2 linked regions of the Oryctolagus cuniculus genome follow. The protein of the gene in region 1 binds, or shares a complex with, the protein of each later gene. Links are inferred from orthologs where the notes say so. Each region holds a gene or a part of one and is shown on either strand. Other genes may lie near its edges.

Region 1 (4,423 bases):
GATATGGGACACAGGCATCCCAAGTGGTGGCTTAACCAGCTGTGCCAAAACTCCCATCCCAAATGTGAGTTTTTAAAGTGGCATTTTCTCTGGTTAAAAGAGGAATCTGAAATGTTTTTATTAAATGTGTTAATTTATAAATTAGCTTCCGTATAACATTTTAAATGTCATGCTGAGAATAAAGGTAAGGAACACACTTTGGAAACTGACAGATTGTGTATTCTAAGATAAGGCATTGGCCTTTAGAAAAGTTGTGGCAGAAAGATTAACCAAAATTTCATCTCCAAATTAGTTTTTACATATTGTATAAGTTGCCTTTGTGCTTGGATATTTTTAAAATAAAGGTTAAAATCAGCATTTCAACTAGCTACGATTGTTCCCAACAACACTCTTAGCATTTTAATTGCCACCATAATTACCTTTCTCAACTGGATGTAAAGCAGTCCTCTAAAAGATTTACCTAGGTTTGAGTCAAAGCTAAAATGAATGAGTGGCAATTAAACTAATTGCAACTTGAAAATAAGGGCTGGAAATTATATACAATGTGATAAAATGATATGAGGATTTTCATATATTAACAAAAGAACAGAGGCTACCACTGTGGCAGAGGCTTATTAAGCTGCAGCTTGCCATACCGGCACCCTCCAACAGAGCAGTGGTTTGAGTCCTGGCTGCTCTGCTTTCCTTCCCGTTTCCTGCCCAAGTTCTTGGGCCTCTGTCATCCAAGAGGGAGACCTGGATGGAATCAGAGAGCGGAGAAGCAGAGAGTGAGAGAGGTCTTCCATGCACTGGTTCACTCCCTAATTGGTTACAACGGCCGGAGCTGTGCCGATCCCAAGCCAGGAGCCAGGAGTTTCCTCCGGGTCTCCCACATGGGTGTAGGGGCCCAAGGACTTGGACCATCTTCTACTACTTTCCCAGGCCTTAGCAGAGAGCTGGATTGGAAGTGCCACAGCCGGGTCTTAAACCTGCGGCCATATGGGATGCTGGCGCACTGTGGGGCAGGGTGTTAACCCGCTGCGCAACAGCGCTGGCCCCTGGATGGAATTATTGGCTCCAGACTTTGGTTTGGCCCAGACGGGGCTGGTGTGGCCATTTGGGAGTGAACCAGCAGGCAGAAGCTCTTTCTCTCTCCCTCTGTCACTTTGCTTTTTGAATAAATCTTTAAAAAAAAGTTGACAAATGCCATGGGAAAAAGGAATTAACAAGACCAACGGGACCAACGGGACTATGAAATTCGTTTTCTTGTTTCGATAATGAAAGTTTCATTTTGTGGGATTTTTGAAGGCGACGCTGATAGCCCTTGTCTAATAGTTTTCAGAACTCACAGACTGGAACACAAGGGAACCCTTCCCCTCTCTTCTTTGCGATCTCTGCCGCCCTCTCCCTACAGACTCCAGGGATCCCCGGCCAGAGCAGGGCTGGGCAGGTCTTGGGTCCCGAGGTCGTGAGGCAAGAGATGCCTCATGGCACCCGGTACCTGAGGCAGTGCCTTCCGTTCACGCGCCGGGCCGATTGTACCCCGCGCATCTATTTTCCACGTGCGGTTTTGCAGAATTAAAGAAAAACAACAACAACCCAAACATCTGAGCTCCACCGAGTGAGGGGCCTCCACGGCTCCACGAGGCCCAGCTCCCGGGGTCCCAGGGGAAAGCGAGCCGTTCGCGAGCGTGAAGTCCTCGGAGCCCTCACCAACACCACCTCCCCGCACTGGGGCCCGAGTCACGCCCTGCTGACCGACGCTGCCATTCTGAGGACGGACTGCGGCGGGGACCAAAACAGGACGACGCCGACGACGCGGAGCGGGAAGGCTGCGGAGCCCGCAGAGGGCAAAACGCAACTCCGCGCCCCTTCCGCAGGGGCAAAAGGCATCCCAGGAGGCGCGGGACCCCGGCCCACGCAGGCTCCCGGTCCCAGGCAGGGGGGACCAGGCTGGAGGGCAGCCCTTTGTATTTGTTTTGGGTCCCAACCAAGAGACGCCAAGGAGGGGGATGGAGACATCTTTAGCCCGTTGTCTTAACTAAAAACCGTTTTTCATATCAAATCGCAGTAGAATACCAAGTATAACGCTTTCAGGTTTGCAGTGGGCTCCACTCGGGAAAAAAAAATCAGGCAGGGTCAAAATAAATAAAAACAAACAAGGTTTCTGTTCACCTCGGTTCCGCCGAGTCCGGAGCGCCGGGGGCGGGGCCGGGGGCGGGGCCTGAGGGCCTGGGCGCGGCTTCGTGACGTCACAACCCCTGCGCGCCGCTGGGGTGTTTTTGTGTTCCCTGCGCTTGGGCACAGCCGCCCGGGTCTCTTCACCTGGCCGCTTCCCACCTGCAGGCCGGGGCCCCGAGGTGCCCGTCCTGAGCGCTGGGCCAGGCGGCGTGGCAGAGGGCGCGGACGCTTCCGAAGCGATCCTGGTACCCCCAGAAGTTGGCGGAGGGCAGCGAAGCGCGAGAGACGCAATCGTCCGCGAGGGAGGCAGGCCCCGTCCGGGCGTCTCGGAAAACCTGCGGTGCATCATGAAGTTCCAGTATAAGGAGGACCATCCCTTTGAGTATCGGAAAAAGGAAGGAGAAAAGATCCGGAAGAAGTATCCGGACAGGGTCCCTGTGAGTGTCGTGGGGGCGGGGAGGATGGAGGGGGTCGGGGCCCGTGGGTGCGGGGCGGCGGGCTGGCAGCCCTGCGGCGCAGAGGGGGCTCCGCGAGCCTCGCCCGCCCGGGGCCGTTCGGCCTGCGGATCTGGGGTGGGATGGGGGGGGCTCGCGGCCCTAGCGGAGGCCGCTGGTTCCTGGCGGCAGAGCCCCTGTCTGCGGTGACTCAGCAGTATGGAGGGCTCGAGCAGGTGCAGGTGCAGGTGCAGGTGCAGGTGGGCCCGCGGTGGGGCTTGTCTGCCCGCGGTGTGGGCGTGTGGATGCGGGCCGTGGACGTGCCGCTGTTAAGCACGCAGCGGAATTGTGATGGGAGCCACTGATGCCTTGGGGTTTGCCTCTGAGGATGCTTCGCCTTTAATTACCCAAGTTGGCTTTGGCCCTCCTGAGCTCTGGGCCTGGGAGGTTCTTTCTTGATTTCTCTTAGAATTAGGGAGGGGAGGGCTGGGGACGCCACGAGACGGGCCTGGCCCAGAAAGCAAGGTCACGTTCTCTGCGCAACAGCCGCCTGCCTCAGCGTTCCCGGCCCCGGGGGCCCGTGGGGGGCGGGGAGCGGCCGGCCTGCCCTTGGAGCTGATTGTGATCCGATGGGGCCTGACACCATAAGGCGGGACTGAGGACTTTTTCTTTCGGATTTGGACACTGGCTCACGTCGCTAAAGCTGGTGCCAGGAGCGAGGAGGAAGAAACATGAAGCCATCTCTCAGCATCCGGGCGTTTTTCCCGTTGCCCCCTCCCCCGCCCACTTGCCCGGCTCTTGTCTAATGCAGGCTGCGTAGCCCAGGATGACTTGGGTGCGCGGGCCAGGGGCTGCAGCCCTTGGGTGTTTGGAGATGGGGGCGCAGAGTTTGTGATTATTTCCATCTTCAGACAGGGACGGTGGGATAAGGATAAGTGGGATAAGATGTCAAGAGTTGCCATTATGTGATGTGGCCTCTCCTGACTCACACGGACTATTTGGGAATTCTCCAATTCTTCCGTAACTCTCATGTTCTTACTGCAGCCAGAAGCAATCTGGGCTCTAGCCCCGCAATGGAAACTCTCTGGCCCTGCCATTCCTCAGCTATTTTGTACACAGTGGCTTTGGGCTACAAAGGGGAGCTAATCGTTACCCAGCGCCCTGTGTGAACCTGCCTCTTCCTGGACCTAGGGTGCTTGTTGTAAATGTTTCTCCCAGATCTAGCGATTCTGGAGGAATGAGGTTTAAAAACGGCAGCTAGCTTTCACTGCTGACTTACACACAGCAGGCCGCGTTCTCAGGGCTCTAATGTCATTCACTTAATCCTCACATTGCAATCCTCACTCTATAGATGAAGACTGGAACCATAGAGAGATGAAGTCACTCCCTAAAGACTTGACCTTGCGAGTCTATGGCACAGCCTGGATTCCAACTCTGGCCCTTAACCTCCCGTGCTGTTTGGTTTAATTTCTAATACAGTTCTGGCATTGTGCACCTCACACTGCTGAGTAGTGGAAATGTACTGTTGCTACCCTCAAGAATTCATAGGGTAGTCTGGTGCCAGACAGGGCACGCAGTAAGCAGAATGACTGGGAGCCTAGGTTCAGGTAGCTTTATATAGATGCACCTGCTCCTAGTTAGCATTCTCCTGTATTTTCTCAAAACAGCGCTTCCCTTTTCAGCCCTTTCTGTGCATCCCCCTGCCCCCCAGGATATTTCAGCTTATCCTTCTTGTTCTTTCTGTGCTTACAGTTTGGAGTTGGATGTCTTACTTTCTGATAACTAGTAAGCCATTCAGACCACCCCTGGGATGCCAGGGCTCCACCAGT
Region 2 (3,647 bases), on another chromosome or scaffold:
CCCCAACCAGGACTAGAACCTGGTGTGCCGGCGCCGCTAGGCAGAGGATTAGCCTAGTGAGCCGCGGCGCCGGCCCAGCCCTGGACTTACATCAAGGTGTGGGACTGGAGCAAGCTCTCAGGTCGGCCCAGAGGAGACTTGGGGCTCTGCAGTCCATGGATTGAATTCCACAGATGAATCTTCCTGTGGAGTTTAAGCTGCTTTTTAAGTTCCTTGACTTCTGCTTTACGCTGTTTCTTCTCAGCTCGCAACCTCTGCTTTTCTGCTTTAAGAAAGTTCTTATCAACCTGTTTCTGAAGCCTGTAAGATAGAAGTCAAAGTCTTAAAAAACAAAGAGCCCTCACAAATCTTGAAGCCATTTGGAGCCAACTACAGTCGCCATTGAAGTCAGCTTCTATTTTAGTTTCCTCATTTCTTTTACAGTTCTCCTTTCCATTTCATTACCTTTGGATAATTATCTTCTTATTGTACATCAATGAAGATGGGCAGAACTGAGAAGACTGCCTACAGTGCTGTGACACTACACATTACACCAGTGGTTTACGTTCCCAGGACCAAGAAGCCAATTAGCATCTCATTTTACCTCACTTGTTCCAGGGCGGCTGGGAGACGAGGAGAATACTTTGAGTGGGAGAATGGTTCAGAGGAACTCACAATAGGTCTCCTCAACTTGAGCAGAACGTGGTTAGTGTCATGGGCATATGATCCTGCTTCACAGTCTTCACAGATGTTATAGGATGGGCAGAGGCTGTAGGGAAAGAATGGCAGTACAGAATTGCAGAATAGGAAACACTTGAGGAGGGGAGATATCGGACCAGACTTCTATGTCCTATATCCATTTCCAAGGACAATCTTTGGAAAGAATAAAATATGGAAGCATTTGGAACAAATGGTCTAATTTTGTTCTGAGGAGTACGATGTTTTACTCAGTTCTGTTAATACAAATGTGTATCTGAACACAAAAATCTGAGTAGTTACCCCTTAAATCACACAGTGGCCTGTGGTTCCAATTCGGAGCTACTATACCTAATGCTCAGAGACACAGTATACCTACAATTTCCCTCCAGCTACCCAGAATGCCAGGAAGTCACTGCTCTAAGGTCTGCCAATAGCTATCCCACCCCAAGTGACTGCTTACCTACACTGGTAGCGCACACCAATGATCCTTCTTTGGCAACTGCTGCAAGCAATATGCCAGCTGAACTGGTTTTCTGGCAAAAACACTGTTTCCTCTGAAACAGGCATTGAGACTTCTGAGGAACAGGAAGCCAAGGATGGGTTCTGGAGGACAAGTTTCTCATGTAATCTCTGTTCAAGCTTCTCGACTGTTTCTTTAACGACCTGTTCTCTGAACTAGAATGCAGAGCAGAAAGTGGGGGCAAACTCAGTTCCAATGTTGGGAAAAGATGTAGGATACCAACAGATCTGAAACCTCACCATCTCTGGTATAACATTAAGAACACAATCAACAACTAATGGCCACTGAATGAATACACAGAAAGGTAGCAAGCAGCTCCTTCTCCAGGTGAACTGATTCCGAGAAGAGACCAAGAAGTCCTTCTGATGAGCAAATCCTACATCTCAAGCCTGGAGATCTCTCTCTCTCCCTGACATGCTTAGAACCCAAATCCCTCTTTTCCTGGTGCCTCATCACAAAGGTTAGGGCTTTCTTGAACCACTCTAAGTTTGGAAGTGAATAGCGGCCACTCTTCATTTTATAAGCAACAGGCAGCAACCACCTGGATTTGGTTATTTGTTTCACATTCCACCTGTGCCAACAGTGCTGCTAAAACCCCAACCAGAGAGAACACTCACGGTCTCCAGGTAGCTTGTGAACCAGTCTGGGGGCTTGTCTTGAGGCTGGTCTGTGTCACATGGAGCAAGTGGAAACAACTGCAAGAAAACGCAATCAAGATCTTGTAGATTCTTTTTTCCATTTAGTATAACTGTCCTGAAGTATATTATTTTTAGGTTTCCTTCATCAAGTTATACAAACATATGGTTAAAAAAGGGTCACAGAATGAACGAATATAAAAACAAAACATAGTTTCTGTCCTACCTGGCTCCCTGTTCTCCAGAATTAAGCCTCTGTTATCAGACTCAAAGTCAGAGACTGGGATAGTCATAATAACTACTAAATCTTTGATGAATATGCAAATCTTAGATCAAAGACAATGAGACATAACATTAGAAAATTGGATGGAGGCCAGTGCCGCAGCTCACTAGGCTAATCCTCCCTCCGCCTGTGGCGCTGGCACCCTGGGTTCTAGTCCCGGTTGCTCCTCTTCCAGTCCAGCTCTCTGTTGTGGCCTGGGAAGGCAGTGGGAAGGATGGCCCAGGTTCTTGGGCCCTGCACCCGCACGGGAGACCAGGAGGAAGCACCTGGCTCCTGGCTTCAGATTGGCGCAGCGCGCCGGCCGTAGCAGCCATTTGGGGGGTGAACCAACAGAAGGAAGACCTTTCTCTCTCTCTCTCTCTCCCACTATCTAACTCTGCCTGTCAAAAAATAAAAAAAAAATTAAAGAAAAAAAAAAAAGAAAAGAAAATTGGATGGAGAAGTCTATCCATTCATACCTGTGCTGCAGGAGCCTCTGAGTTCTTTGTGTCTGATCCCAAGACTCTCACTAGTGAAGAACAATGTGCAGGTGGCTTCTTCCCCATTCGGGCAGCTCGTTTTTCCGCCACTGGAAGAGGGGCTTCCTCAACAACATGGTGCCCTTCATGGACTCGCATCTGCAGCTGATTTCCCTGCTTGACTGCCATCTGAGAGTGCGTTAGGAAACAAAAACGTACTTGATGATTCTTTTTTTCCAAATATAATTTCAAAGACGCCTAACAGAAGAGTGGTAAATTACGCTGGAAAACATCATGATTTGTATTTGCTTTATTATATCAAACCAAACATCACACACAACATGAACACCCAGTCTGCTGGGTTTTTTTTGGAAAAAAAAAATTTGAACTAGAAATGGTTTTATTATTAAAACACAAAAATAGGTAATTAGCACAGAAAATTTACTAGGTGACATGTTTGCATTAACTGGGTTACTACTTTCCTGTTTAATACATTTTTATATCAGATTCCATCCATGGACTTCCATCTCAATGGTCTAAAAGTCAATCCCAGACCATTAGAACTGGAGAAACTAAAAAGCAACCTTAAACGCTCAAGTTTTTTTTTTTTTTTTTTTTTTTTGAATAGTATCTTCCTAATTCAAAAACTATACTTCAAGGAGAATTTGGGATTCTAAGAAGGTACTCCAGTGCCCAAGACTAATGGCCAACCCTATGGGGTTTCTAGCTCCCTTCATCAACTCACTGTTATTCACAACTGTTCTTTTATCTGTTTTATGCATTACACTTCTTAAGATTCCATTTAAAAATAGAATTCCATTTAAGGATAATATAGGACATGTTAAATAGCTTGGCTGTAATAATCATTTCACGATGTACATATATATCAAAACATTGTATCCCTTAAGCATAAACAATTTAAATAAGGAACTCTTCTCATAAGGCATTTCATGGACAAAAAGTATAAAAGCTATTATTCTAGATCAATTTTTTTCTTAAAGGAGCCACTTAGTAAGTATTTTAGCTTGCAAACCATTTCCCTTTTGTAATTTTGCCACTGTAGCACCGAAAGC

The links. The genes of interacting proteins can lie anywhere in the genome.
Region 2: the proteins of GABARAPL1 (region 1) and NBR1 are in contact, whole or in part, in an NMR structure (PDB 2L8J), measured with the Homo sapiens proteins. The link is inferred for Oryctolagus cuniculus from reciprocal best matches to the Homo sapiens genes GABARAPL1 and NBR1. Residues at the interface, in NP_113600.1 of Homo sapiens: Glu12, Tyr13, Lys16, Glu17, Lys20, Ile21, Lys24, Tyr25, Arg28, Pro30, Lys48, Tyr49, Leu50, Val51, Pro52, Phe104; in NP_005890.2 of Homo sapiens: Ser729, Glu730, Asp731, Tyr732, Ile733, Ile734, Ile735, Leu736.

Annotation. Positions count from the first base shown.
Region 1 is NC_091440.1:106,914,997-106,919,419, forward strand, and holds the start of GABARAPL1 (gamma-aminobutyric acid receptor-associated protein-like 1), read left to right. Parts: upstream 1-1,562; 5' UTR 1,563-2,507; coding exon 2,508-2,597; intron 2,598-4,423. UniProt on the Homo sapiens protein: Ubiquitin-like modifier that increases cell-surface expression of kappa-type opioid receptor through facilitating anterograde intracellular trafficking of the receptor. Involved in formation of autophagosomal vacuoles.
Region 2 is NC_091448.1:19,820,283-19,823,929, forward strand, and holds part of NBR1 (next to BRCA1 gene 1 protein), read right to left. Parts: intron 2,764-3,647; coding exon 2,575-2,763; intron 1,894-2,574; coding exon 1,816-1,893; intron 1,354-1,815; coding exon 1,139-1,353; intron 749-1,138; coding exon 584-748; intron 301-583; coding exon 91-300; intron 1-90. UniProt on the Homo sapiens protein: Ubiquitin-binding autophagy adapter that participates in different processes including host defense or intracellular homeostasis.